4 linked regions of the Lonchura striata genome follow. The protein of the gene in region 2 interacts with the protein of the main gene of each other region in a biochemical or structural test. Links are inferred from orthologs where the notes say so. Each region holds a gene or a part of one and is shown on either strand. Other genes may lie near its edges.

Region 1 (7,863 bases), on a different chromosome or scaffold from region 2:
CTGGGAGTGTAAACCCTGCAGGAGTCTATCCTGGATATCCTGGACCTATCTTTAATTACAACCTGAAGAGGAGAGGGAATACACCTAATGACATTTGCAGATGACAACAAAGCGGGGGCAGAGCTGCCATCAGGGGCACTTTGGCAGGTCAGCAGAATGTGCCCATGATATACAAAGATAAAGAGGAAAGTTTCGCATTTGAGGTTTTGAAGGATATCATGTCGAATCCCTGTTTCAACCCAGAAGGCAATTAAATATGCTATTATGGTATCTCAGGGTTAGTATTAAATACCTGCTGAGCTTTTGACAACAGTACCTCCAAAAACATTCTGAGAAACCAACCTTGTGTCTTCCAATGACACTTGACCAGACTCTTCATCCACTATGATTTTACAGTGATCTCCAGACACCAACTTGTTGCCAGGGAAAGATAAGTCACAGCCTTAAAAAGAAAGATTTTCCAGCAAGCTTAAAAATACACATTACACAGTCAGATCAGCATTCTACATGGCTATAAATGCAACATAAACTGACTCATGTACATCTGCAATAGTTCAAAACTTCTGCTGTCACACAGGCAGCAACACAGCCCAGTGTGAAACACATAAATACAAGTGGTGAGATAGCCCCATGTGCTGATATAACCATTTCAACCATGTGAAGATGTTTCAATTCCTTTTTCCCCCCAGTCCTAGCCCTCAAAGATGGAAATCAAATCACAATAACTCTTTTCTAGAGCGCTACAGAAATATCCACACATATCTGAAGTGCTCAATTTAACTCCTAAAGGCACATGCCACAGCACTCAGCTCTTTTCCCACATCATAGTAATGCTGTTTCATTGAATTTAACTTCTGTTCTATTCTGGTGTATTGGGGGGAAGTGGTAGGAACCAATAATTGTTAAAAGAAAAATATGTAAAAATTATTATCACTGTTCTATCTTACAGTCATTTGTTTGTTTTTTAAACAGGAAAGTTTTCCTCATCTCTCTTGACATTATTATGTTAATAAAGCTGAAGAGAATTACAAATCCAGGACTAAGATTTAGGGATACACAGGAGAAGTGTAATGACAATGCAATAAAAACCTTCCTACCTACAACTCAAGGGCTCTGAGAAAATCTTGTCTTTTTACCTCACTTTAACATTGAATATTTAAAGCAACACTCAAGGTTCTCCACTGATCTCTCACAAAGGACTCAAAGCACTAGCTTACACCAAAGTTATAACTAACAATCATGATTCCCCTCTACCTATTCACACTGTGGGTGAACTGATCTCAACAACAGATCCAGCAGGAAAGCAGCAGGCACTACCTCATATTGCTTATAAATCACAATTTGGTATTCTAGTAACCATCCATTCAACTAAGCCATTAGCAAACAGCTATGAAAGCAACTAAACAAGAAAGATTTCACCTTTTATTTTCTGCCAGACAACCCTCAAACAGACGTCAGCTTGAAGAATTTACCCACAGATAAATGATAAGCAATCTCAATAGATACCACCAACTGTAAATTTGCAAAACATTTTTCCTGCAAGACACTGTCTGCCTTTGTCATAGAGCTATAGCATCTGGTGTTTGTTCACAGCTATTTACAGGAAGTGACTGATCAGCCAAACAGCTTGAACTGACAAACAGGAAAAAGAAAATCAGCACTGTCAAGGCAGCATAAAAGGAAGTTTAAAAACTTCAGTCCTTCTTTCAAATACAGTGAGCATGAAATCCTTTAAAATAAAGGGAAGTAGTACAAGTCCTAGACTCTGGGAAAAAAGCTTTCAAATCGACTCTCAGAGAACTTTCAGTACTTGTTGGCAGTCTTTATATGGCCAGAAGAATTAAGGGCTTTTATGTGGGTGTTTTCTTCTCTGTGAAGCCGAAGCATTTTGCATTGCATTTCCAATTTATTTTAACCACAGAAATGAAACTAGAACACAAACAAACCTGAAACACAGAAACTTCTGAATCAACAACCGGGTTTCCTTATTTATACAAGCTGCCACAGACTACCTAAAAGGGACACTGACTTCGAAACGTGCCACAAGTTACTGAAAACAAAAGGTCAGCATAAAACTACATATTCACACAGCTAAGAGGTAAATTGGGAATAGGGGGTGGGGGTTTCCTTATTTATACAAACTGCCACAGACTACCTAAAAGGGACACTGACTTCGAAACGTGCCACAAGTTACTGAAAACAAAAGGTCAGCATAAAACTACATATTCACACAGCTAAGAGGTAAATTGGGAATAGGGGGCGGGGGGCCTGGCAAGCACCTCCAACAGCTGAAAGCACCAAACCCAACTAGTTTCAGTCAAACCCAACTAGTTTCAGTCCGCTTCCAAGCTGTAAAGGCCAGCAGGGGGATGGCCGCTGTCCCCCGAGCACCGCCCCAGGCCAGCGCAGCGCGTCCCCGTCCCACCTTTCTTGCGCCCAATGGTCCATTCTCTTTTCAGCAGCAGGACGTGCGGCTCCGCCTCATCGGCACCCAGCCGGATCAGCTTCCCCCAGGGCTGCGGCTGCTGCTGGCTCTGCTCGCCTCCTTCCGACCGCTCCATTTGGATTCACATCTGACACAAACAAACAAAGCGAGCGCAAACCCCGTCACCACACGGCACCCGGGCCGGCACAGCGCTGCCCGGCACCCCCGCTACCCCGCATCCCTCCCGCATGCCCGCGGCTGCCCCGGCCCCGCCGCTCCCTTTTGTGCGGCGCCGCAAACCCTCCCTCCCTCCCTGCGCCTCGGCCCCCCGCAGCCAGCCCGGCCCCTTCCCCGCGCCTCTCCCCGCCCGAGCGGACCGAGCGGGGGAGACAGCGGGGAGCCGCCATCGTCCGCTGCCTTCCCTGGCGCGGCCGGCGGGGCCGGGGTGCGGCGGCCCCGCTGCCCGGCCCGGCCCGGCCCCTCACCGCAGCGCCGCGGCCCGGGCGGCTCCTGTCAACAGACATCGCCCCTCCAGCTGGTGCGGCCGGGGCGGGCCCGCGCGCCCATTGGCCGGCGCGCCGCGCGGGGCGGCCCTTCCGCCGCCCGCCACCGAGCCGCGCCGCGCCGGCCGGAGCGCCGCCGCTTCCGGTGAGGCCGCGCCGCGCGCCGCCCGTAGGGAAAACCCGGGCTGTGGAGGGGCTGAGGCGGCGGTGACGCCTTGGCGGCCATCTTGTGTGTGGGCAGGCATGCTGGGTGTTGGCGGGACAGGCTGCGCGACGCCATCTTTGTTACGGGCAAATCCGTCGCCTCACCGCGACCGTGCGTGCCGGGGGCCAGCTGAGGTCGTTTCAGCGGTCTCTGGATCCCCTGAAAAATTGTCGTAGTTTAACTCTTGGCTGTTGAGCAAGCAGCAGCGGCTAAATAAAGAACACACCCTGCTGTTCTAGGGCCAGGCTTTAAAAAAGCCAGCTCGGACTGAGGCAGGATCGGTGTCCGCTGGTGGAGGGGTCACGCACGGAGGGGCACCCCCAGTTTCACTCAGGAGACTCTTACAAAGTAAACCCCGGCATTATCGGGACAAGAGCTTCCCGAACCTTGAGACTTATCACTTGTCTCTGTTATCGCATCGGACACCTCGTTTCCATGTCCTCCATTTGGTGGTCCTTTGTGTAAAACAGTGTCCCTGCTGTGCACTTGTTGATCCGCTCGTTTATACCGCTTTCATTTCTGTTTCCTGGGACATTTGTACCACGTGCACCATGGGTTTTTTTACGCCAATTAGCACCCCGTATAAAGTGGCTTTCTAGCCAAATGAATTGTGGTCCTTTTGCGCAGCATCCTTCTAGTGACAGATCTCTTTATCTTATTCATCTGAAGGACTTCAAACAGTTTTATGTTCATCAAAACAAGAGCAAGAAGCTGAACTATCCTGAATGTCCCTACTTCTTAAATTATACAAAGGCAGTGACTCCTTTTTCCCCCTTCACTTAAATTATTTTGAAGTTTGAATTAAGTGAGAAGACAAAAAATATGGAAATAAAACATTAAAAAACAAACCCACTTGCAGTTCTTGGTCTTGATACTCTCACTTGGTTCACAGGCTTGAGCTCTCAGATTTTGCTTTTTTACCTTTCCTGGAAGCCCTGCAGATCCCCTCGGCCACAGAAACCTCACAGTAACACCAGCCTGTGCAAAACATCTGGACAGGACCACTGATAGAAGCAAAATTATTTAAAAACTGCAGATCCAAGCCGTGTTTGGATCTGCAGTTTTAACTGATACCCAACACAGTATTGTTCCACAGTCCCAATCACATGAGCCCCAGGTGAGAAAAATATATAAGAACACGAGTCAAAATTGATGAATGTACTTAAGAGCTTTGTGTTACTGACCTTAGTCTATAACTCTTCCCTTAGTAATAATAGTATGAAAAAATAGTTCTTTGAGACCTGAATGTCTACATTCCTCCAAAAGGATTTGTCTGTAAAACCCTGCTTGCTTTCAACATTGTCCTCGCTGAGGAATAAAGCCATTTATACATTTGAAGAGAAGCACATCAATGGAAGTTACAATCACTCAAAAGCATTGTCATGGTGCTTCATTTTTATTACTGCTCACAGTGACTGGTAATTGTTATCTCTGAGTGGCAGAGGAAAATACCAGCACATGGGAGATGCAACTAACAACCCAACGACCAAATCTTTTGTGTAAACTGTAGCATTAGCTGAGAGAGGAAGTTGTTTTGTTATATTGTGGCACTGAGAAAACGTATTTTCCAAATATTCCTGCCAAGAGATCCCTCTGCAATCATAGCAAGGAATTACTGCACCTCGGCGATAGCACAGAGCGAGGACACGATTGGTTCAGCTCCTGCAGCTCTCCCATAGTATCCATGTAAAAAGACAGCAAGTGAAACATACAGCTAGCTTAACGAGTCCTGTGTGGATAGGAGACTCAATTAAAATTAAATTATACAACAAATTAGGTTTTAAATGCTGCACTGCTTAGCCAGCCAGACAAATAATAATTAGAGATGTACTGATCTGCTGTGTGCAGTTGACTGCTGTAACTGCTCTCCATGTACAATCACCACATTTCTCTCCCAGCTCAGGGTAGTTTTATCCCACATTCCAAGTAATCCATCTCTCAACAGCCCCATTTTGTACTTGTCACCCTCCAAAGCTGGGCAAAATGGAGAGGATCTCTTTCTAGAGATCACCTTTCCCATCTGTTCCCTCAGTTAATGTTTGTTTAGCAATATACCTCCCCCTCCTCTTTGTTCCTAGCTTTATTCAAGCTCATTCTAGATGGAATTAGTTTTCAGGCTCTGAACTGTGTAGGTATACATATACCAGCAGAAAAAGAAGCTATAAATATTACTTCTTTTTTCCCCACAAGTAGTGATACACAAACCAGCAGTTTGAAAATACCCCATCGTGGATGGAGGGGTACAAGCTAGAAACTGTCACCTCTGATACTAGTTCTAGCAAAAGAAATTTAGGCCATCCTTATGAAGTACAATATAAAAATGAGTTCAGTTGAAAAGGACCTGAAGGCAGCTACTCAAATCCTATTGTAAATGTTCAAATGCATTTGTATTGCATTAATGTTTGAAGCTCTCTATCACCCAGTAGATAACATTCAGAAAAACTGGTGCTATTTAATTTTCTCCTCAATTTTTTTTTTTTTTTTTTTTTCACTTCTGGAGAAAGCAATATCAAATTATTAATATCAGATCAGGAAAAAGCAACTTGGACAACATGAGGGGTTTTCCTAGTCAGGCAACCAGCCTCAGATTTCTTCCTTATTATGTGGTAGAGACAGGAAGGCAGCCAGAGACATCACATGAAAAGGAAAGAAAAGTGCCACTTATGTCCTTTTCTAGACATCCATTACTGACCACTCCTAGTGTTTAGGACACTTTCAGAGTGGGGAAAACCAGTATGGAATTACTCATTAATTACAAAGTTAAGCAGCAATAAGTCAAAGGAAGGACTCCCTGGGAAATTAAGAGGAAAGCAAACAAAACCAACACACCAAAATCATGCACAGGGGAGCTAATGAAACAATGCAGTTCCCAGGGAGAAGATCCTCTCTGCAGGGACCATGGCTGAGCTTTGTTGCTGGGGGAGAAGGAGCAATGAGGAGAGGCTGCTCTGTGCCCAACTGGTAAACAGAGATCAAAAATAATGCAACTGTTGTTCACACTTCCCCAGTGAGCTTCACTGATCAACAACACTCCCAGTTGTCTTTGAAATCACTCTGTAAATGCAGCCAGGTATTTCCCAAAGAGAGATAATAATAGTAATAGTAATAGTAATAGTAATAGTAATAGTAATAGTAATAGTAATAGTAATAGTAATAGTAATAGTAGTAGTAATAATAATAATAATAATAATATTTAAAACAAACCTTATTGACACTTAGAAATTGCTAACAACTATTTTGTTACATTCAAATGGAATTTAAAGCAATACAAATACATCTTTTGGCATTATTTACTCCCTTTTTCTCCCCAGGCTGTTGGGGGAAAGCAGTTCAAATTCTTGCCTTTGGCACTTTTTAGTTTCCAAACATCAAACTCTGTAGGCAGCTTGCAAGTCCCAGAAGATGGTCTCTTCTGTCTAATAAAGAAACCAATTCCACTTGATTTGATAAATGGAACTATTCCTGATAGCCTTAGGTTTTCCAAGACATGGGTTTGGGGTTTTTTGCAGATCCAGGCTCAGCCCTACAGTAAAGTCCTCCCCCATCTTACCTGACAGGAGCCCACACTAGCCACAAGCATATGGACATACACTTACTCTCACTTTTCTTGTACCAGATTCACACGGACCTTTTTAATGGTTCTTCTTGTCATTTATAGGTGACAGTCCAAGTTTTCTTTTTGATCACATAATTCATGAAGTTTGAGAAATCCTCCAGCACTTCATCAGTAAATCTTAGATTGACATGTTTAGTCTAAGGAAGAAAAATTGTATATATTATCTCAGGATGAAAGCCTACCTACAGAAAAATTACATTAGTATTTCTGCAAAGAATCCATAGAAAATTGGGAAAATTTACAGTCTGGATGCAGAACTGATTGCATCAAAGGGGGTTTTTTAAGTATTTCTTTCCTTTGAGTGTTTTGAAATATGCATCCTCCAGGGGGTGCCAGATTAACACCACTGGAAAATAAAAATGTGTGAGTTATCCACACCAAGGAGAGAAGCGTCCATCCTGCACATTTCAAAGTGCCTTGTGAGTGATGCACCCCTCCAGTCTGAGCCAAAGGCTCCAGTGTCCAGAGTGAAATTTTTCAGCTGTTTACTTACAAAACTCTCCTGAAGTCAGAAACTGCTGACTGCTCCTACAATTAAGGTCACACACATGTTCTGCCGAGTTCAGGTAGGCTACATCCCTCAGAAAAGAGCTTTAAGAGTGGCTGAGTGGAGAAATGCATCCATCTCAGCCTTTGAAAAAAAGAGACCTTGGGGAAGGAAGAAGTAAAAAATGCAGTGGCAGCTGTGTGTGTTATGAATAAGGACAGAAACCTGGACACAAGAACTAAAATGACACAGAAAAGCTGGAGAAAACATGGTCAGGAGTGTCATCAGGTTTTCAATAGGTCTGCAGGGAATGTCAGCAATGAGTAGGATGGTTGTAAATGTCATTAGAGCAGAGGAGAAGTTTCACTGGCTCGGAAAAGAGAAATCTGTCACTTAAAACAGAAACTATGCCTTGAACAGGCAACTGCTTTACTCTTAGGGAAATTGATCTAATCACTATTTCCAGTCAAAGGAGCAAGGAAAAAAAAAAAAAAGAAAATTGTTGAGAAGTCATATAATAATATCAAAACCTTTTCAACATTTCACTGCTCATGTTTTTCTTTTATCTACACAGCAGCTAAAATAATCACACAGTCAAGACATTCTGCTTCCCACAGAAATATTACT
Region 2 (7,986 bases):
CCCCACACCAAGCACTTGTTTTGCAAGTACCCAACGTGTTTAAAACTCAGACACAGCAGGTACCATCTTGGCATTGCTCCAGTTACCCACCAGGCAAAATAACCGTACAGTGGTTTGGCGCCAAATAACACACACAAACAGCTGCTGTACTGACAATACTCAGTGCTGTACAATTACTATTACTGATGATACAGAACTAACCACCTAGGAAAGCCTTCCACGTGTCACTCACTAACAGGAAGGAGATCTCCAACCCAAAAACAACAGCAGAGCTTTGTGCATGAGGAGGAAGGAAAAGGAAAGGGCTTTGAAGACCACAGCATGGAGCCAGGAGAGCTGAGAGCCCAAACTACAACCAACCATCTACCCAAACTGTAAGAGGACATTTTTATTTCCAGATGGGCTCTTCCCACAAGCCAGGACTGGATACCCAGTTACCCTCACAGCACCACAGCAGCCACCCTGCAGTCGCTCTCAATGTCTCTCTAAGTTGTCACATGTGATTTTGGCACTGCAATGTGGACACCTCTGGGTTTTGTCTAGAGTTTTGCAGGAGGACTCAGGGCTGTTCCCAGCACAAAGGCTTTGAGGGCACAAGGCACTGATGAGAACAAAAGTGAGCAGAGCTAGCTCAATCTTTAAGACAACAATACAAGCAGTGAGTAATCTCCTCAACATGGAGTTTCAGACTCTTCTCTGTGTGGAAAATGAAACCTCTAGGCAAGCTGGGCCTTGTTTAAACTACATCTCTCAGCTCACCTATCTCTAGACCATAGTTTCCTAAACAAACTAAGGAAAAAAGAGACCGATTCACTTTCATAGTGCACTTTCAGATAACAGAAACCACTCAGTTCCAGCTGGAAGCAAAAGACAAAGCTGTGCTGGTCCTGCAGGGCCTGGGCGCCTGCCTAGCACCCAGAATCCCACTGTCATTCACAGCTCTTCACTTGAGGAACCAAAACAAAAGGGAAGTTACAGCAGACACAACTAAGGCTTTGGTCTGTATCTCTCTTTAATTTCTTCAGCACAATTTGCAGAAGAGCTCAATGCACTGACGCTGGCACAGAGGCTGCTCTGCAGGGGATTTCCCGAGGAAAAAGCAGGGGACCCGTTTGCTCTGGTGAAATTCAGGCATTTACAGCAGGATGCTCAGCAGCAGGATGTGATCTGCTGGTACAAGAACGGGCAGAGGGAAGAGCAAGCAAATTCAAGAGGTTATGGGGAAAATAAATAAAAATACAAATGTTTGGTGCAAGACCGCCAGTTTTAGGGATATGTCTGGAAATGAAAGGCAGTGGCTCTGTGAGGAATGTCGGTCCCCAGGGGCTCACTCCATAAACCGAACCCTAGAGAACCAGAACACAACTCCTGCCCCCCGTACTGGTGAAGGGCAACCCGCCTCGCATCAGCCTCAACTGCTGGGCAAGACAGGAAGGAGTAACAAACGTGAGGAAGCCGAGGAGCAGCAGCCGGAGCAGGGGAGGAGGAGCAGCTCCAGGCTGAGTGCAGCGGGGGAGACAAAAGGACAGGCAGCAGGACCACGTGCGAGCAAACGCTGCAGCTTGGCACCGCACGGTCCCGCATCTTCCCCAAGGGGAGGAGGATCTGGGGAACAAAGGCAGAGGCAGGTATTTCCCCTCCGGGACAGCAGCTTTGCCTCCAACCCCGACAGACCTGCCAGCCCCGCCCGGCAGCGCGGGCGAGGAGGGACCGGGCCCTTCCTCCCCGCCCCGTACAAGCGGAGCCTCTCCCAGAGGCACAAGCGAGCTACATCCTCCAAACCCGGCTCCTCGGGCGGCCGGGAGCCACAGCATCCATCCATCCACCCACCCATCCCTCCATCCGCAGGGCTTTGCGCTGCCACGTCCTTGCTCGCCTTCTGCAGGCACACAAGTATGCCTTTGCTAACCTTTCACAGCAACACCCCCTAACTCAGCCCGCCCCCAGCACGCTGCAGGCGCACCCTCCCCTCTGCCCTGATGCAGCCACCGGGACAGAGTCCCCCCTCCCCGGACAGCGGCGTGAGCCTCCCGTGCGGAGGGCGATTCCCTCCGCATCCTCCCGCAGCAGGCTGTGATGCCGGGTCCGCGCACAGCTCCCAGCCCCCAACAGGACAGGGCTCTTCCCTTCCTTCCAAAAGTAAGCCGAGCAGTCTCTTCCCCAAAAGGCAAATAATAGCATGCGGGCGGCGGAGAGCAAACAGTGCCTCCGCAGCCCGTTCGCCAATTGCGGTCAGCGGTCTCACGCCTGCCATGTGCCAGCCAGCCCAGCGAGAGCCCCGGGCCCGGCCGCTGATGCTGCGGCCCCGGGGGCTGCCCCACACCTCTCACAGCTGCCGGGCCGCAGTTCCTCTGTCTCGTAGGCAAAGCGCGCACCGAGCGGGGATTCCCCGGCGCCGACACCGAGCGCTGCGAGCCGCAGACGCTTCCCGGGGCTTTCCTCGGAGAAAAGCCGAGCCGCGGAGCTCGGCTCGCCCCCGGACGGCAACAAAGCGCCTCTGTGCGCGCCCGCGGGCCGCCCCCCGGCCCCGCCACGGCCACGAACGGTGACCTTTGCACCGCTTCGGCTCAGCCGCCACTGCAGCCCGCGGGAGCGGGGGAAGCGGCTCCCCCCGCCCGGGAGCGCTGCGGGCAGGGCTGCCCCGGGCACCGGCGCTGCTGCGGACACGCTGCGCCTCTGTTAAAAATAGGCTGCGCTCGCCCCCGCAGCAGCGAAAGGCGCGGCCGAGCGGCTCCGGGATACCGCGGCGGGCGGAGGGAGCGGAATCCCGCGCTGGCCCCGCCGCCGGCGGTACCCAGCGGATCGGCCGGATCAGCCCGCCCCCCTCCCGCGGCGGCCCCGCCACGCGGTACCTGCACCATGAGCGCCAGGCGCAGCGAGTCCTTGGCGATGCTCTCGCCGCACTTCTTGCAGGAGGCGCGGCCGCTCTTGGCATACTCGGCCCGGTACAGCTTCTCCGCCGGCTCCGCCATCGCCGCCGCTCCCGCTCCCGCCGCCGCGCCCCGCCCCGCGCCGCGCCGCGCCGCGCGCCCGCCGCGACCCCGCCCCGCGCGCCCGCCGCGACCCCGCCCGCGGCAGCGCCAGCCGAGCGCCGAGCCCGTACCATGCCTCACCAACCGGGCGGATCGTCCTCTCGGGCATCGATTGCGCGTGTCTGGAGGTTCCTCCGGTGTATCAATGGGAGGCGGGCGCGGCGGCGCGTCCCGTGCTGCGCCCTCGAGGCCGCGGGTTCGGGCCGCGCCGCCACCCCGCGCCCCCACCCGCGCCCGAGCGACACCGAGCGGGCTCCCGCCTCTTGGGGAGCCTGAGCTCAGCAGCTCTCCCGCAGACAAATACTGGCCTCGTGATGCCGTTTCCAGGCGGGCGTTCCGGTGGTGCCCAGCGACAGGACGAGGAGCGATGGCCGTAAACACGAGAATCTCCCCCCGCCATGAGCAAGGAGGGCTGTACATGAGGGTGACAGAGCACCGGAACAGCCGCGCAGGGGGCCGTGGAGTTCTTCTCTGCAGAGAGCCAAAACCCCCCGGACCCGCTGCTGTGTCACCTGCTCCCGGTGACCCTGCCTGGGCGTGGGGCTGGACTGGTGATCTCCAAAGGTCCCTTCCAACCGTGACAGTTCTGTCACTGTTTCCTCCAGCCCCTGGGGATAACAGTGGGGCTGCTGACGAAATCAAAGAAGAGTGCTTTGACAAATTAAATCAGGATTTTTTTTTTTCCTACTCACAGTAGATAATTATCCTCTACTATCAGCAGAGGGCATTAGCTCTGCAGCCTCCCTGGAGGAAGGTAGAGGAGAACACTGAAGTTACTCCAAACCCAAGTATTTGTCATTAATCTTATAGAGATTCTGAAATTAGGGTTCAACTGAAGCAGCATGTGCAGCCCTGGGTGGGCTTCAGGCAGCCTGCAGGTGTCACTCAGAGCTGCACACCAGCATCTCAGCAAGCCTGAGATGCTGACACACCTTGTATCCTGTGCTGTCCTTCTCCAGGCTCTCACACGTGTGCTGCGCAGGGTTTGACTTCAGTGCGAGCCCCCCACCAGCCTGGGGCTATCGGCGTGCCCGGGAGGACAGGCTGGGTCCTGGTACATCACTGCGGATTTGGGGAAGGACGAAAAGGAATCCCTGCGACGCACTAGATGGTGCTGCGAGCACACAGACAGCCGGGTGCTCCACACAGCAGAATCTTCGCTCTTGCTGATCACTCCTTCCAGGAGTTCCTGGCCCAGACACCAGTGGTTCAGAGACAGATCAGTTTGGTCCCACCCTGCGGAAAAGTGGGGAGAAAACGCAGGAGAGTTCATCTGGATGACATGGTGGCTTTCACTCCTAAGAAAGGGAGCCCCGTCCAAACACTAAAATGCTGCTCTGCAACTGGCAGCCTAGACACTTGCAGAGGATCTGTAAGATGTCATGAAGAGCAGTACACAGACATTCACAGGCTTGCAAGCATAAAAACAAGCAAAGAAAGTGACTGTAACAAATGGCTGTTCTAAGCTTAACCTTGTTTTTTTTCCAGTTATGAGCACATACTACATTAGCACTACTCCAAATGGGGTTTAGTGGATTTTCTTTTTTGAAAGGGGTAGGTGGTTCTGCTTGAAAGGATCAGGCTCAAAGCTCCGGGCACTTAACCTTTCAGCCTTACTTGAGAATTCCACAGTAGTTTGTCTGGCCACAACCAGTGTGTTGCTTTGAAACAGGAACGTCTAAATAGCAGGAATTACATTGTTATGGTTCTTCTTATGGCGGTGTAATTTCCTCTGTAGGCTAAGTGTCATCCTGATGTGTGGTGTCAAGAGTTGCCAAATCATGTTAGTCCCATAAATCTATTGATCTCAACAGAGCTGCCTTGCTCTCTGTCTTCCCAAGTGTGACATGTGGATCACAGGACATCCCTTCCACTCTCCCAGGGCCGTGGGGGACCAGTGAGTCAGTGCTAACACAAACAGCACAGAGGATACCAAGTTTTGTAAAACAGGGAATGCTTTGGCAGAAGCTGAGAGAAGTGGCATCTGCAAGGCCACTTTTCTGGGGAATCATAATCCCTTTAAGTAAATCCAGTTTTTCCAGAGCCCTCATATTTAGCTGCTGCATTTTACCAGAGAGAAAGAACTTTGTGATCCCTCACATTCCTTTCTAACAATATTCCCATCTCAGTGGACTGATTACTTCTGGGATCCTGTTGGATGACGAGTTCTGCACCAATGTGTGAGACCAATTTGTTTTTCCTCTCTGTGACCAAAGTAGAACTCATGGTTATCCTCAGAGGTGTTTTGATTATCTCCATATACTGACACTCAGATGCCAAACTGGCTGCTGGTGCTTGCAGATCAGCATTTCCCAGTATCCAGCCCAAATCTCACACATGCCCCTGGGCTCCCACAGCTCACTGTGCTGTGGACAGGAGCGTAGGTGAGGAAGGGGGTGTAATCAAAAGGTCTGCTGTGCAGGCTTCATCATAAATGTCAGGCTATTTGGAATTTTCTTAATGCTTCTGTTTCTGCAATCTCACCTCTAGAATGCCCCTGGAGAACAGCAATTTCTGTTCTCCAGAGGCAAAGCACACAGAAACAGTAAAGAAGAAAAGAATGGTCCAAGAAACCCCAGCTATGGCAATTTTGAGTGTCTCAGACTGTGAAATTCAGTGTCAAGCATTCAGGTGCCTGGCTTGCGACTTCAAGGCACCACAAAGAATTACATTTTCTTTTCTGGGCAATTTTGCATTAGATTCCTCTGAAAGGCAGAGGGAAGTAGGTCAAATTCTGGCACCAGGAAGACATAAGTTGATCTCTTCAGTGTCACAGGACCAAATGCTTCCCCTCAGATTGTGCTGACAGAAACCTGAGCACTGAATCTTCCAGACTGTCTTGCTTTGGGCTCCATTTCTCACACATGCTTGAGATATCTCCCTGCAAGATTTCCACCCTGCTAAGCATCTTACAAAGGGTGAGAAAATGTTGGACATATACAGGGAAGACGATCACTTACAGCCTGTAGGGGCGTCAGAACTGTTCTTGCTCAAGCCTGGATTTGTTGCTACAGGAGACTTTGTATTATCTGGTTTTGATATCTGATAGCTTGAGAGTTTTGTAACAAAACACCCTTCAGTGCTAGGTTATCCTGTCTGTGTTGATGACCCACTTTTTCATGCCACTGCACATAATCAGTGTGGCTGGGATGACCCTGTTTGCATCCATGCAGGAGGCTACAGGCAGCCACTGCTGTGGCTCAGCTGTGCCTTCTTGCTCATGCAAGTGATCATCCCACTGGCATCCCTGAGACTACACCAGTGGGAAAGGGATGTGAGATCGTGCACCCCCATCTAACTGAGCATCTTACTGTCTTTTCTTTCCATGGAATAAATCAGAGGGCTTATTGTTCTGTCTGGGGGATCTAAAATATGTTTTGAATAGCTCAATAACTTCCCATGGTTCCTCTCTCCTGGGTGATCATTAACATATGCAATCTCTTTGGCTTTATTTAGAATTTATTTAGAATTTAGAGTGCTCCTGCTGGGCAGAGGTGCCCAGAGCTGGCCTCCTTCTCAGTCCCCCTAAATAATTTTGCACTACAGACCAGCACAGAGGTCTGTGTGAAGCAGCTCTGGTGGTTCCTCTGTTCTTTAGAAAGGTCCCTTAAATAAACCTGCTTTTTCAGCTTTCCAGATGCCCAGGAAAGTAGATGTAGGAAGAGACAAGGGAGGAGGAGCAACAGCATTTCAGACTGCCGGGGAACATGACTGAGTAGCTTTCTTTCAGTAAATTCAGTGGTGTGACTACATATCCTGAGTCTAGGGAAGATAATATTCCAAAGCCAGTGGCAGAGCCAAGTGCAGCCACAGTACTTGCCACAGTTAGTACCTGGGTGCTTGCCAGGCTTTGAGGTTGTTCACCCTGACATTATCCCCACACAGGAAAGGCCATTATCCCTGTTTTACTGTCCCCATGTGGCAACTGAGACACAAATCATTATGCAATGAAATTAGAGAGTGGGAAATTAAAAAAAGGGTAAAAGGAGATTTGTTCTCATGGCAAGTTAATTAAACTAGAGCCTACAGCCAAAGGCAGATGTTGTGGCAAAGTAATGCTGAAAGGAATTGTTTAGAGTTTTCTTAATTGCAAATGCTAAAAGGGACATAAAAGAGTGAGCTTTGGAGATAAAGTCCATACCTAATTTATGATGACAGTGAGGAGACATAACTTGGGGAAGAGATGATCTTCAGTCTCACCATGGGTCCTTCACTTGAAATGCTCAGCCCAGTGAGCTGGAGAGAGAGGAGCACCTGCCATGGGCAGCTGTGGTCCATTCTTGATTTCTGCTATCTGCCAACAAGAATGAAAAATCACACCCAAGGGAAAAGCAGAGTCTCCAAAACCTTGAGCTAATCCCACAGCCACAGTCAGCCTTTGGCAGAGTTTGTGAGAAATGATGGCAAACTCCCTCAAGGGCTACCTGGCTACCTTTTTTGTGTCAATGCTGCCTGTTAGCTTGTTCTCCCACCTGTGTTCCCAAGCATCATCTTTCCCCTTTGTAGTGCAGTGGGGCTGTTAATCATCCTGCCTGTGTGGATGCCACTTGTAAAAGGCTCTGCTCCTGGAAGGAGGCACCAGCTGCAGCACTGAAAATGTTCAAGAGCAGAAACAAGGAGAGAGATTTGGAAAGTTCATGCTCAGAGATCTGTATGTGCCAATCCCAAGCTACAACCTTATGGATGAGTTTAATTAAGGATGGCAGCTTCCTCATCTGAAGTTGTAATCCCAAATACATGTTGTCTCCACATAGGCTCGAAGCCAAGCTGTGACTCCTGACTAGAGCACCCCAGGGCAGATGGCCTCATCCCTGGGGCAGATACCTTCCCTACCTGTGCCATCAGTCTGGGTATCTTCTGGCCCAGAAGAGCTGCCAAAATACATATTGGGCATCACAAGATACCAGCTAGAGAGTCTGCATATGGTTCCAGTTTGGGTCCTTGAAAATGAATA
Region 3 (7,991 bases), on a different chromosome or scaffold from region 2:
TTCTCTCTCATGTTTTCAGTTCTGCCGGTGAGTGAATTCATTGTGAGAGGAGGGAAGGTGAGGACGGGGGAAAAGTCATGGAGGGATTGATGGTCCACATGGTTTGGAGCAGTTAAAGGGAAGCAAAAGTGGGAATGCACTAAGGACAACCAGCCCTGAGCACAGGGTGCAGAGTGATGGGGGGTGCCAGGGCAGCAGGAAAAAAATCCTTTTTTAAAGCATTTTCTTTACTGAAAGACATCAGTGCTGACTTGGGAAAGAGCTGTTCGTTGCCTGGAGTGGAGGATGCTCCTTTCAGGGGCAGGGAGCACCATCTAGTGACCACAGGGCTGCCCACAGGGCAGGGAACAGGGAAAGGCATGGGGACATTCCCTGCCCCTCCTCTGTGCTGCCAGGGAGGGAATGGAGAGGCACAAAAGCTTGGGAGCAGTGCCAGAGGAGATTTTTTTGTGGGATGCAAGTCGTGTCATCCCCGTGATCAGGTAGTGATAATTATTTTAATGATGTGCCTTTATGGGCTGGTGATGTCCACGTGGTGTTTGGATTTTGGGGAATTCAAGTGCCTTCCTCCTGGAGCTGACCTCCATCCCAGAGCTTGATCCCTTTTTTCCCAGGATGGAATTTTCCCAGGATCCTGCAGCCCCATACTGGAATTCCTTTCTCTCTTGGGCACACATTTGTTTCACTGTTAAAACTCTGATTGTGAGACTTTTCTTTGTGGTGAGAGGAGATTTTACCCCTCTGTGAGCAGATTCACTGATATTTTCATCAGAGCCCATGGAAAACTGGGAATTAAAGGGAGACAACCTGGCTGAAGAGTGTACTTGACCTTCACACAGCAAACTGGGCAGGGCCAAACTGATGTTGGGAGCTTTATTTGAGCAAAATGCTGATTTTTTTTGAGAGGATTGAGACCTTTACATGTGTCTTCATGTGCCATGAAGTACCAGTAATTTGCTTGGACTTCTTAAAATCTGCTTCCAAAAGCTGCAGTGCAAATTCTTTTATTCTGCCTTCAGTTTTCTGCTTTGTAGACTGGTTATACCTTGAGGAGAGTGTTCTTTTCTTTTTACGTGGAAGGTTGGTGAGAGGAACAAAACTCTTTTTTTTTTCTCTGCTGTCTTGTCTTTTAATACCCTCATCTGCAGACACGGTATGTACCATACCAAGCACAACATAAAGGTGAATGTGTCTCCAGTTTTCCAACTATTTACCCGAAGATTTTTGTACAGTTCAAGGGATGAAGGTCACCTTATTACCACAGCAGAGTGTGTTAGCCCAGAGCAGAGTTCTTGCTTTACCTCCCAGCAAGAAGGATTGCAGATCTATTTACACAGGGAATATTGCAATGTATTTCCTTCATATTTCATGGAATCCTGGAATGGTTTGGATTGGAAGGGATCTTAAAGATCTTGTAATTTCAACTCCCTGCTGTGGGCAGTGACACCTCCCACTGTCCCAGACTGCTCCAAGCCCCAGTGTCCAGCCTGGCCTTGGGCACTGCCAGGGATCCAGGGGAATCTGGGAATTCCATCCCAGCCCCTGCCCACCCTGCCAGGGAACAATTCCTAATTCCCAACATCCCATCTAAACCTGCTCTCAGTTTGAAGCCATTCTCTGTTTCCTGTCACTCCATGCCTTTGTGACAAGTCACTCATCTGAACCCATGTAAAATGCATTTTACGTGTTTAGGTGAGTACACACATAGTGAGCATATTTCTAGTACATCCTAGAAAGGATGCAACAAGCAAAGCAGCTTTTCTATTTGGAGTTCCATCTTCTTCATTTAGAACTCTGTCTGATTTTTTTTTTTTTTTTTTGCATGATCAAACCAAATCTTCAGGTCTGTCCAGGGCCCTGTTGGTTTAAGCAGGCTCAGATCAGCATAGATTGGATCCTTCCTTGAAAAGATCTTGCACTTAAGAGGGAACTCTTGAGTCCTAAAGGTAGAAAACACTTCAAGCAGAGTTTAAGGGTGTTCAGGAAAGAGTTTAAGCACAGCTGTAACTCTAAAGTATGTGCAACTGCCCTGCTTTGATCAAGACACTTAAGCACATGTTCAGTGTTAACACATGTTGGGAAATTTTGCTGCTCCATGGTTTCCAGGTGCAGGCTGAAGGTAGGACAATATTCCAGCTCAAAGGAGGCAGGACAAATTAGGGTGACAAGCTTCAGAGAGAAATTTGAGGGGAGCATTGGGTGATTTGTGTGGATTTTTTTTCCTGTTTTTGTTCTGTTTGATGACCAAGTTTTTCAAACTCACAGAGCGTTGTTTCAGACAATAATACAGAGTTGCCTAACAAAACAAAAGCATTTTTTCTTTCTATTTAACCTTAAAAAAATCAGAAAAGATAAAAATTATGGAAGTGTTTGTTCTCTTTTTTCTCTTGCAACTGGATGATGGTGATTTGATAACCCAATATTTTCCTTGCCTCACAGTACCAAGGCTCTGCTTGCAATTGGATCAGCCTCAGCGTAAGCACTCAGAAATCTGCCTGTGGGTATTAGTTTGAAAGTCAAATAAACTGCACTGGATTCTTTGGCACAAAATGTGTGCCAGATTAAAATGGCAAAATCCTTACTGGGCCGTGGGCTCTGTAATACTTATATAATAATAATAGAGCTCAGCGGTGCTCCTTATGCTTCCAAAATCCTTGTGTAAACCAAGAGGAGGTTTGTGTAAATGGAGGTGGGATGGAGAAGAATCATTACTAAAAACTGCTTGTGGATGAATTTGTTAGATCCTCTCCACTGGGGAGCTGGAACTGATACTTGCAACCTCTTGATATATTGGAGGAAAAGCCCAAAATATCAGGGGCTTAACTGGAGTGGAAGTCACCCAACTGAAACATTATACAATGCTTTGAAATTTCAAGAGAAAGGTTCTAATCTTTTGGCTGTCTTGCTCATTGTTTGGAGATGAAAAGGGAGGAAATCAACATCCCCATGAAATACAATTACTATAAATTGCTTTCTTTTCATACTGTTCATAATGAAAATAGGAAAGTTACCTACTCTGCAGGAGCGCCATAATTTGGTGGATATAGACTGCAAGAGCACATTCAGCAGTGCAACACTGCATTTCTACATGAACCAGCTAGTGGAGAATATAAAATATTGTATAGCAGTGCTGCCTCCAGATTGCTCTGAAGCCACGAAAAATAATCTTTACAGTGGAAGAATCCAGAGCTTCTTGAAGTGAACTCTAAAATCAAACTGATCTTGTGCAGGGAGTTGATCCCGTGTCCCAAAGATTGGATTTGACCATCTTGGAGCTTTTTCCCACCTTGGTGATTCTGTTTGTCACTGCTGCATCCAGGGATTCCCAGCTCTGTGCTCCCCACGGGACACCTGGAAATGGGAATTTTCTGGATCTGGCAGGGCTGTTCCCACGAGCAGGGAGGGTGGATGAGCCTTTGCTCTGCCCTGCTTTGGGGGAGATGGAGCAGCACCTGCAGGACAAATGAGTGAAGGACTCTTTGTGCACCTCCGGAAAAATGCATTTCACCTTTCTTGGCTCAGGATAGGAGGGGAAAAGTGAACTGGGACTTTCTGCTGTCTTTGTGTAGAAAAACTGTGTGTTGAATGCCAGCAGTCACCACCAGCTACAGAACAACGCTCCCATTTCCTTTTTTTTTTCCTAAGAAGCAAGAAAAGGCAGTGTTGGGAGAGGGTGAGGTCATCTGCTTCCACTAAATAATGCTGCAATGAGCCATTCACTATTTCTTGTTCTTTTTATTGTACCAGAGTCCCTGGTCAGAGGTCAGGACCTTACTACAACTGGAATTATCTTCCAGGCAACCTGTCCATGGTTAGGTGTTGTCACAGGGAGCAATGAGAAATTATAAACCTGTTAGAGTAGGACCAGCTTTATAAAGTTGTTTTTTAAAAAGTGAATGAATTCTGACTTGCTCTAATTTTTCCTCCCTTTTTTATGGGTTCTATTTTCAAGCTTTTCTCTTCAGGCTGAAAGCTCAGAATCTCCTGACACCAGGAATTGTATCTTTTATGAAAACATAAAAATCTGTGAGGCTCCTAAGTGTGAAAAGGTTGTGCCAGCACTGAATCCTCAGTGGAATACCCTGGCTGGTACTGTGGAAGCACTTTGCCTTTCTTACATATATTTTTTTTTAAAGTTCTGGTCTCTTATACAAAAGCCTAGGACAGGGACAGTGTTTTTTCTGCACACCTGGAAATTTTGGGGTGCCCCACGACTGCCAAGGGCTCCAAAAGAACAAATAAAAATATAACATTGAATAAAAAATAGTCATCACACTCTAAGCAGGAAGGGAATTGCCAGTGAAACCATCTCATTTCCATTCATGGATAGAGCTGTGAATTAAGGGAAGAACATGGAAGATTTAGGACTGCTTATGTCATTCAGGCATCTGCTTTTGAAGTTTTATGTCATTTTGTGACTTCCTCTCCTCACTAAGAAAGAGACATCAAAAAGAAATTATTGTCCCCAACCTATCTGCTTCTTCTCTAAGGGAAAAAATGTGCTAAATCAGATAGGCTGGAAAGTGTCAATAGCTCAGGAATGCAGGAATGAGGTTCATGGACAAATATAGATGTGGAGTAAGCAGGGCCAGTCCTCATTAACATATTTGGAGTTACACCCATTTTTACCCAGCCTGGCTTTGGCCCTGGATCAGCAATTCCCCAGTGAACAGCCTGCATCAAACCACTGCTGAATTTGGCCCATTTCATCTGACATCTGCATCCTGCCTCGAAGTGGCCTGTCACACTTACTGCACATCAGATCACACCTGCCCAGGCGGCCACGGGCAATTGACTTTTTTGTTTAAAAAAACACCAAAAAAACAACCAAAAAATTAAAAAAAAAAAAATTCAGTCGCATATCATCAAGAAAAACAACATTGTTTTAGGACTCTTATCTCTTCACTCCCAAATATCCTGTTTCTTCGAGCTGCGGTGGCCAGGACCAATAGAAACCTCTTCCTGCCATTGGCTGACTTCATTTCCCAGAGTTAGCACAATCTCATCCGCTCTAAACAACCTCATCAAAACTTCTTTCTGGTCAGAGCGAAGCAATAATTATTATTAGCAATTATTAGCGATCAATAATCTTGATCACATTATGGCAAGCACTATTAAGGTAAGGAGGGGGTACCTTTTTTTGCTGGAATTTTTTTCTCACTGCCGCGTTCTTTGGTTTCCTTTATCAACCTAGATAAGTTAGAATTGGGCAACACCCCCACTGCCACAATAGAGGACAACAAGATTTCCTTTGTACTGCCTAGTAAATTTCCTTTTTCCTACTCCAACCATCCGCAAGGCTTAAAAACTTCAAACTCGGAAAAAAATTGGGTTTTTTAAATTCACTCTTCAGTGGTGTGGATTGCATAGACGAAGCCCTTTTGTGAGAGCTTCTGAAATTTCTTGTAGGTATCCCTCGGACAACTTGGATGTGTTTGTGCTCTGCCATGAGGGGAGAGGGTGTGCACTGGAAGGAAAAACCGGGCTCCTAAGGGCACTAAATTTTGGATACTTTGAAATGTTTCTCTTGCGGATGGGGACACAAATGGGAAGGAGAGGCACCAGCTCTTGTTTCTCTCTCTCTCACGCAGGTGTTAATTATGTGCTTTTCTAGAAACTCGTATCCTTAAACTCGGGACCTTTCTGAATGTTATTTTAATGGTGGTGGGAAGATCTCACGGGCGTGTTCTTTTTAATCTTTTAATTTTTTGGACAATAAAAATCTCTTCTTGGTGCATAACGTTGATCTCGGTGCATGGTTTGTTGGCTTTGGGTTTTTTGGGGTTTTTTTTAAGAATGGCTTTGTTGAGTTTTTTGTGGCTGTGTCACTTATAAGGTTGAATAAATCTGTCTATCTACGTTTTGTTTCTCTGGACAGCATCTGCCAATAGGGCAATGACTGTGATTAATTGCAGAATGTAACGGTAATTAAGCGATTTGTGATAGTGAAACTAATTTTACATAAAGAGCACGGACAGGGAGGACTCTGCGGTGTTGTTTTATCAGATTTGGGATCAAGGTATTATCGGATTTAGGACTGAGGTATTTGCTTTCTTCGTGGCATTGTGTGTTTCTGCACTTTTCTAATTATGTCAGAGATTTAATGAGGGGTATGGAATAGCCTGGCTGTTGGATAAGTAGGGCTGCAGTTGGATTTTTCAGTAAACTTGGCTCCAGTGTTTACATTTTAAAGATCATTTGGTGCATTTTGTTACAGTTTTGGGAATCTGACAGTAGTGCCCGAGGGCAGTGTGATTAAAAAGTCGAATGAACCTTTTGTTTTTGTAATCACTGATGTTTTCATGGGGCTATCAATAGTGACATAGATCTGACTCTCCTCTGCATTGCTGGCCAGCATCTGCTAAATGCTAAGTAGCTCCTGAAACTGAATTCCCTTTGGTTTTGCCGTGCATTTCAGAGCATGCAGGACATGACAGGCACTTAATGAAAATCTTGAGTTTCAGGGAGTCAAATTTTGGCTTAAAGGAGGGCTGTGTGCTGAGGTTTTCATAATGAAAACCTCATTTGCTTCTGTTAATCAGAATATTGATACAAGATTTATTTTCAAAAATAATGGCACCCACAAGATCGGATGCCGTTTGCATTTTAGGTAACTCCTGCTATTTATTTCCTTTATGTTTCATATTGACTGAATTTTAATAGACTAGAAGATTGTTAAATTAGATCTAATTGTTGTTATTTGACCTCCTCCTTACACTTAGAGAAGTGTTTTATACCGCCTGGTAATACAATGTACTCAGCAAAATGGAAAAATTCTCTCTCCTAATCTGGAGTGTGAATCTTGCAGGAGGTCCCAGACAAACCAAAATGTTGAGGATTTCACTGCCCAGGCTGCTGGGAAAGGCCTTACATGCTGTAGCAAGAATTAAAATTTTATTTATGCAAGTGCAAAATGTGAAATGACTGGAAAGAAATGACAGGTGCTTTGTACTCGAGGTGCAGGAAATGTGCTCTGACATGAGGCTGAGTCGGTTCAAAGATTTTCAATTCCTCTTCTATGGGGAGTGGATAAAAAAGCCTTTTAACTGAAGGGTTTCTGAAATAAAGACCCTCCATTTGAAGGCCAGGCAGGTGTGTGTTTAGCTTTTGCTAAAGTGTTACACATCATATATATATTTAATTATATAAGTATTTAATATAAAGGCTTGTGTCTCTCATCCTTTGCCTCTCAGCACCCTGCAGCAGACCCGTGGGACACTGGGGCTCAGCAGGGACCTGGCTGGGTTCACTGGGGTCAGGGCAGGCAAACCCTGCTCTCAGTTTTTGGGTGCTCTCAGTTTTTGGGTGCTCTCAGTTTTCAGGTGCTGTCATTTTTTGGGTGCTCTCAGTTTTTTGGGTGCTGGGTTTGGCATCCTGAGCAGGGTTTTCCCATGGGATCACTCTCTCCTCACCCCGTGCCCTCCTCCTGCTGCCCCCTGCTCCTTTTTCCCTGGAAAGGGGAAAGAACCATGGTCCTAAAGAGAAGGAGGAGGAAGAGGAGGATGAGGCAGCAGCACCTTTTCCCCAAGCTCAGACATGGATAAATAATATTAATCCTGACTTCCCCACTGGACCAGCCTTGCCCAGGCCAGGGATCTCTCCCTTGGATGGGGAGAGGTCAGTGCAAGAAGCTGTGGAGAGGAAGGTGGTGCAAGAAGGTGCCTGCCCAGCCAGGATTTTGGGTTGATATTTCATATCCCAATACCTGGAGCACACTCAACTGAGCTCTCTGTTAGGTATTTTTGGTATTTTTAAGGATGAAACATGATTTTTCAAGTGGAAAAAGACCCCTTAGAGTGAAGATTTCAGTGCTGACAGGTTCCCCTCTGGCTCAGGTGGTGTCTGACAGCTCTGTGGTGGCACAGCAGCACAGAGCATTGAACATTATCAAATAAATGCAATTATTTATATTTATTAGTCACACTAATTACTGTAAATATAATTTTAGAACATACCTGAATTAGGCATCAGTCTTTTGTTTGTGTTTTGCC
Region 4 (6,975 bases), about 15 Mb from region 2:
TTATCGTCAGACAGAGGAACCTGAAAGAACATTTACTGTTTAGTGCCTTTATCCAGTTACAGAAGAGTGGGGGGAAGCCAGACCACAGTTTGCACTCAGTTATGTCCTCCAAAAGCAGCCTGGGTAACAACCTACTTTTTGTATGGTGGCCATTGCTCAAGTATTTTACTTTTTTTTTGCAGTTTCCATCCACTCAGAAAAACAACATTTATAGGAAACTTTGTGCAGTAAAAACAAAAGAAAATAAAACAGAATATTCTTAGATATTTGGAATAAATATCTAAAAGGCTACAAACTGAAGGATTCATAGAAGAGCTTTACCACCACCTTGCTCTAGTTTCCCTACATATATAAAACAGAAAGAGCAAGTTTAACAAAAGCCTATTTGTCCAAGAAAAAAAAAGGCAAAAACCTGCAAACATAAAAGTCTTTTTTGCATTGCTACAATTTATTTCTCCAGAAAGTAATCAGATTCTAAATCTCTGAGTCACATTCATTATTTACTGAAAACAACACTATCCTTTTGGATTTCCTGAGCAAGTCCACCCCCAGGATCGCAACCACAACAAAGGCTGACATTTCATTTGTATAGAGAACATAACACCTCCTTAACTTCCAACACATGCTTACAAATATTAAACTTCATTAAAAACTTAAACACCCACCAAAAATCTGGAGGCAGCATCATTATTCCTCATTTTTGCGGCTCCCTCTACCTCAGAGCTGGAACATGCTGGTTCCATTAACAATGGAATACAGGACATCTCAACAGCATGAACAGTTGGTGCTTCTGCATCAGCCTCCTGATTTTTTTCTGACAAAACAAAAAACGATTTTATCTACTCACACGCTGCAAATATAAACATGCACTTTTGACTCAAACACAAAAGTTGGTCTGAATGTTTGCCATTAACAAATGCAGTTTGAAACTGACCATCAACATCCTCTTAGCATCAGCTTACAGAGGAAATAAATGCACCTTCCTTTTACCTCACACCTAAAGTTTTGACCAAAAGACTCTCTAATAACTGCCGACCACGACTGTGGTGTTTTGGGGTTTAAGTACATAATTTACACTGGTTGCTGCCATGACAAAACTTTGAGAAAGCTGAAACTGCATCTCAGAATTTGCTTTATGGTAAATCTTCACAACTCCCCAAAATCTGATCCAATCCTAAAAGTCAGGCAACGATTTTAGGATTTCAGGACCAGATGCCCAATGAATCAAGCAAGTTCTCCATACAGGCTATCGAGGAGACACTAGATACACCGGTGCTAGTCTCAAAAGCCTCAGTTCAGAGCCACTACGTCTAAAAAGCTTTTTAGGTTATGAAAGCACACCCAAACTGTAACTGTTTTTCTTTCAACACGTTGCCCTTACACTACTCAATGCACCAGCACAAAAGATCAGGGGAAAACGAGTCTAATTGGTGCAGTATTGCCTGCAGAGAAGCACTGGGGTGTCTCTGCCAACCTGCTGAAGACCACCCTAAGTCACGGGGTGGCTTTGTGTGGTGAAAAAATCTTCTCCTCCAACCCGTGCTTCCAAAGAGAGGCTCAGCAGTTTCTTGTTGTTTGGTCTCATGGTAGTTTATTGCAAGTTATCTAAAAGATTTTCTCCTTGGGCTGCTGTGGTTTGCTCACAGCTCAGGCAGAGGCACACACACACCCTGACATCCTCTCTGACTCCCGACTGCTTCTTCTCTCCCACCCAGGGCTGCTGCTGTCTTTTATATGGGACATTACGTGTTACATGTTTACAGTTCTTCCCCAATGCCTATTACCTATATTAAATGGTGATATTCTATCTTTTATATGGTACATTACATGTTACATGTTCACAGTTTTCCCCAATGCCTATTACCTGTATTAAATGGTGCTTTTCTACTCTAAACCAATCTGTGAGTGCCAACATCACCAAGAACATGGAGGTAAGGAAGAAGAAAGAGGGAGGACAGGGCAGGCCCAAATCCCTCCATCTTAAAACCTCTGACCCCCATGTACAAAACAGAAACCCCCCTGTACAGCACGCAAAAATTCTTCCCTCTACTTTGTAACTACTTCTACTCTAATATCTAAACTTTTGTGACTTCTTGTTCTTCCTGCCAGGCTGGTAAACTGTTCCACAGCTCAAACCCAAAATCACAGCTGTTTGCAGCTGCCTGCCAGGGTCTCAAATGCTTCTGACCTGGTCCTGGAACCTCCTGAAATGTCTGAGGGACATTTTGAGTTCTGACACCAACCCTTCCAGAACTTGCTGTACTGCAGAGAGCACACACTGACCAGCTGAACTTTCTCTTTGTCACCCTGAGAAGAGAAGCACCAAAGGCTGAGCTCTGCCTTATTCCTCCAGCTCTGCAGGGTCTCACAAAGCTCCAGGATGGGCGAGGTTCAGCAGAACCACAGCGGGACATCCAGCCCCAGCTCCCTGCTCAAGAAGGGTAATCCCAGAACACATGGCACGGGATGGCATCCAGATGGTTCTGGAGTATCCCACTGAGAGATATTCCCACTCCTCAGCCTCTCTGGGCAATCTGTTCCACGTGCAGCCACTGCACAGTAAAGAAGTTCTTCCTTATAGCCAGGTGGAACTTCTGTGCATCAGTATCTGCCCACTGCCTCCTGTCCCATAGTTCTGCACCGGTGGGCACAGCCCGGTCCATTCTTTTGGCACTTTTAGACACTTATACTGATGAATGAGGTCCACTCTCAGCTGTCTCTTTCCGAAGCTGATCAGGCCCAGCTCCCCCAGCCTTTCCTCCCACGAGAGATGCTCCACTCCCAAACATCCCCGCTGCTGGAGCCGAGCTCTCCCTGCCCCTTCCACCCGCGCCGGAGCCGCCTCGGGGCTCCAGCGGTGCCCTCGGAACCCCTGAGCGGGGCCGGGCCGGCCTCACCTCCAGGCTGCCGGAGCCGCCGGGACGGGCACGGAGCTGCTGCCGAGGGTGGCAGGGACCAGCGGGACGGGCACGGAGCTGCTGCCGAGGGTGGCAGGGACGGGCACGGAGCTGCTGCCGAGGGTGGCAGGGACCAGCGGGACGGGCACGGAGCTGCTGCCGAGCCCCGCGGGAACCGCCGGGACAGGCACGGAGGTGCTGCCGAGCCCCGCCGGGACGGGCACGGAGCCGCCGCCGAGCTTCGCAGGAGCTACCGAGACGGGGCCGGAGCCGCTGCCGAGCCCCACGGGAACCGCCGGGATGGGGCCGGAGGTGCTGCCGAGCCCCGCCGGGACGGGCACGGAGATGCTGCCGAGGGCGGCAGGGACCGCCGGGACGGGCACGGAGCCGCCGCCGAGCCCCGCGGGAACCGCCGGGACGGGCACGGAGCTGCTGCCGAGCCCCACAGGAACCACCGGGACGGGCACGGAGCCGCTGTCGAGCCCTACAGGAGCCACCGGGACGGGCGCGGAGCCGCCGCCGAGCCCCGCGGGAACCACCGGGACGGGCACGGAGCCGCCGCCGAGCCCCACCGGGACGGACACCGAGCCGCCGCCGAGCCCCGCCGGGACGGGCACCGAGCCGCCGCCGAGCCCCGCGGGAGCCGCCGCCGGCTGATGACGCGCGGCCGCCCCGTGACGCGCGGTTCCCCGGGCCGCCCGGCGGCGCCGCCTCCGCGGAGCCGAACGCGCGGAGCCTCGGGCCGGGGGCAGCGCCCCGCGGGCCCGCCCGCCCCGGGACATGGCGGCAGGCGGGCGGCTGGCACACGGCGCTGCCGGCGGCGGCCGCCCGCGCTCGGAGGGGCCGCAGTGACGCCTCGCCGCCGCGGGGATGGACCGCGGCAGCGCCGAGGGGGGAAGAGGAGGAGCGGGCGACTTGGTGTCTGCCCTTCCTCCCGAGATCAGCTGCCGGATTTTCAGCGGGCTGGACGTGGAGAGCCTGTGCCGCGCCTCCGTGGCGTGCAAGGGCTGGCACCGCCTCATCGAGGGCAGCGAGCGGCTGTGGCGGCAGCACTGCCTGGCCGTGCGCGCCGTCTGCCAGCGGGAGATCGACTGCGACCGCGGGCACGGCTACTCCTGGAAGGTAAGAACGCCTCCGGCCGCCCCACGCCGGCAGCGACACGGGCGAGGATGCCCAGGGCCAATGGAAAAGTGCAAGGAAGTGACATCAAGCCTGTCGCGCCCGTCCCGGGGTGGTGGCGGGGGATGCGCGCAGCGTGGCTCGGAGCGCATCCCGGAGCGCATCCCGGCAGGCGGACAGCTGGGAATGAATATACTGGGAATAAAGCAAGGCTGGCCCTTTTCCCACCCGGGATACAGCCTGCCCGCCTCGCATTAGTCGTCTTTCACGGGGCAAAGGCCACATTCCCGCAGGCAGGGAGAATGGACTCAACTCCGATAGGCAGCGTCTGCTCTCTGGTTGTATTTTCTGTCTTTTGTATTTTCTGCTGGTTAGGAAAGACTTCCTGAAAAAGCATCCTGGATAGCGCTGTCTCAATGCATCTCAAGTGAGACGCATTCAGGAAAAAAAAAAAAAAAGAAAAAAAAAAAAAAAAAAAAAAGGGACTAGAAAAGGAAATGTGTCACCCTGATTCTTAAAATTTTCTAAAGCCTTCTGAGTTTACATTCTGTTAGAAAACTTTCCCACACATTTTCTATAAACAACATATTCTTTTACATTCCTTCGTGAGAGTAGAGGAAGTTGACATACTAGTAGTTTGTCCAATGTCTTTGGAGAGGTGGCCCATTCACTCTCCAATCCACTGTCACCTTTAAAAAAGTATAAAAGTTGGAGTCAGAAAATAAACCTTCTTTTTTACCTTGCCATCGCAGTGGCTCATGTTGTACTTTCTCGTGTCCTATAGCAACAGAAATGAGCAGGAGTTTTTATAAACTTTTTAGAAAATCGCCCCAGATGCAGACTGCTCTGAGGAGTTTGCAGCAGGTGCAGCTTCAGAACCTGCTGGATGATCTCTCACTGATGAATCCAGCCTGGAAGCTGAGATAGATCAGAACCTGATCAGGTAGACCAGGTCACTGGTTCCACAGGTTACTCTGGGCCAGCTATAGGGTAATCTCCCACCTTATTTAAGCTGGTGTGTTTGAGGGGTGAAAAGAGAGAAGCAGCCGCAAAAGAAACAAAAGCAGCCACTGGATTCTGACATTTCAATAAATTTTCTGCAGTATGAGGCAGAGCCATGAGCAGATAGTGGTTACCCTTTCAGTGTACAGATCTTGCTACCCTAGCACAGCAATTTTCAGAACTCCCTGTGCTGATTGTCAGTTTTATCTGGAGGGGATTTGAAATACAATCTACAAACACACCCAGTCTACATTTTCTTGCCCTTAAAGGCTGGCAGAAGAAAAGAACCCAGCCGGCCTCCAAACCAAAGAAAGGTCACAACCTAAACAGAAAGTGAAAGGTGCCTTTTTTAAGGAGTAAGAGGAATTCCTGGTTTGGGTTTTCATCTTGACCACTAAAGAATTGAGGCAGGAACAGAAAAGTTGGAAGTGGAACATGTTCTGCTTCTCGGCAGCATTGCACCTTCCTGGGCTTAAGGTCTAGATATCCAAAGGCACATTCCAAATCCCAAAGGCACATTACAAATCCCTTTTCCAGCACTATTCTTCTAGTATAATCTTGCAATATTGATTGCATTTTAAATTGGTTCCTTTCTGAGATCTGTCTCTATGTTTTTCCACCAGATTACACTGTTGAGAAACTACTGGAAAAGCAAAGTGAAGCAAGAATGGCTAAGTGGGAAATACAGCAACATTCCTTCTCAATTCAGTTTGCCAGACAAAAGCATGTATCCAATGGATGTCGACACGTGGGGAGAAATCTTGGAAGCAGAACTTGAGAGATGATAAACCAGTGCTGATTCTTGCAACTCAGAAAACTTTTGCCAATAGCAGTCACACCGTTCAGCAGTTGTGAAACTGATTTTGAACTGATTATGAATTTATGATGAAAACTTCTCCAAAAGAAAGTTACGGGTGTCTTTTTTTTAATTTGCATTTTACTGTATTAATTTTATGCAAAATTCTAAAGGCAACTAAATCTTCAGTTGTAATTTATATTTATAAATTTAATGTTCTACTGCACTGTCAAAAATATGCTGATTATCGTTTCAGTTTGCACTTTTTGTTTTGGAAGAGATGATTTTTATATTATAAAAAAAAAACAAAAAAAAAAAAAAAACAAAAAAAAAAACCCACCCTAAGGTGTGTTTGACCTTTTGATATGAAATGTATTGTATCAGCAGCACATGAGAGCTTACAGAAGTAGGCTGGGGAAGGGGCAAATCCAGACACTGGAAAGAATCCTCTGGGCAGCAATGCTCGTTCCCCTCCAAGCCAAAAACGAGAGAACGAGGAGCTGAGCCCAGCCCCTCACTAAAATCTCCCCCTTTCAAAGGAAAAAAACTCCTCACCTATAAGAGTGCACCCCCTCCCCCTTGGCTACATGTTTTGTCTCTCTTAAGTACCATTATTATAATTTTTTAGGCAATAGACGGGAGAAAAATCCTTGAGAGAAAAAGGGAAACAAAAAAAAAAGAAAAATCCTAACCTCCAACAAGTGTAACTCAGAGTAAAGAGCATTCCTAAATACAGAGGATGTAGCAAAAAGATCAATTGCAAACACTGCTTCTGCTATTGTTAGCTGTTCTGCTGCAAGATTGTTAGTGCAAATTAAAGAAAAAATAAAACCAGCAGAAAAAGGCACACCCAAGCACATTGAGGGTACTGCTTCACTCCCTGCTCACAGAATGTTTTACCCTGATTGAAGAGAGTATAAAGTGTAAAAAGTGCATCTAAGTTAATAAAGAAGAAAACATTTCTAGCAGTACATTCTCTTCACCTCAAAACTGCCCCGTTTTTTAATCATAACATAGGGAAACTGCACAATAATGGATCTGGTCCCTCACCTTTCTCATCCAGCCTTCACTGTTACCTCCAGTCTGTAACTCCCTGACATTTATCCCCTATTCCTGCTCCTCTCATGCTCTTCTGCTGTAAATTCTCATGTATTTGTCTCA

Evidence for each region.
Region 1: of the proteins of PARP1 (region 2) and CHFR, one has a biochemical effect on the other in vitro, tested with the Homo sapiens proteins (2 studies listed by BioGRID). The link is inferred for Lonchura striata from reciprocal best matches to the Homo sapiens genes PARP1 and CHFR.
Region 3: the proteins of PARP1 (region 2) and ERG form a complex in vitro, tested with the Homo sapiens proteins (2 studies listed by BioGRID and IntAct). The link is inferred for Lonchura striata from reciprocal best matches to the Homo sapiens genes PARP1 and ERG.
Region 4: the proteins of PARP1 (region 2) and APLF form a complex in vitro, tested with the Homo sapiens proteins (3 studies listed by BioGRID and IntAct, with this or other methods). The link is inferred for Lonchura striata from reciprocal best matches to the Homo sapiens genes PARP1 and APLF.

The regions. Positions count from the first base shown.
Region 1 is NC_134620.1:8,516,180-8,524,042, forward strand, and holds the start of CHFR (E3 ubiquitin-protein ligase CHFR), read right to left. Parts: upstream 3,011-7,863; 5' UTR 2,911-3,010; intron 2,574-2,910; 5' UTR 2,562-2,573; coding exon 2,426-2,561; intron 443-2,425; coding exon 343-442; intron 1-342. UniProt on the Homo sapiens protein: E3 ubiquitin-protein ligase that functions in the antephase checkpoint by actively delaying passage into mitosis in response to microtubule poisons.
Region 2 is NC_134605.1:17,698,412-17,706,397, forward strand, and holds the start of PARP1 (poly [ADP-ribose] polymerase 1), read right to left. Parts: upstream 3,016-7,986; 5' UTR 2,973-3,015; coding exon 2,853-2,972; intron 1-2,852. UniProt on the Homo sapiens protein: Poly-ADP-ribosyltransferase that mediates poly-ADP-ribosylation of proteins and plays a key role in DNA repair.
Region 3 is NC_134604.1:114,219,160-114,227,150, forward strand, and holds the start of ERG (transcriptional regulator ERG), read left to right. Parts: upstream 1-4,990; 5' UTR 4,991-5,101; coding exon 5,102-5,119; intron 5,120-7,991. UniProt on the Homo sapiens protein: Transcriptional regulator. May participate in transcriptional regulation through the recruitment of SETDB1 histone methyltransferase and subsequent modification of local chromatin structure.
Region 4 is NC_134605.1:3,027,581-3,034,555, reverse strand, and holds the start of APLF (aprataxin and PNK-like factor), read right to left. Parts: upstream 3,014-6,975; 5' UTR 2,898-3,013; intron 815-2,897; 5' UTR 765-814; coding exon 666-764; intron 21-665; coding exon 1-20. Other genes in the region: FBXO48 (F-box only protein 48), read left to right, coding at 3,768-4,019, 5,642-5,803. UniProt on the Homo sapiens protein: Histone chaperone involved in single-strand and double-strand DNA break repair.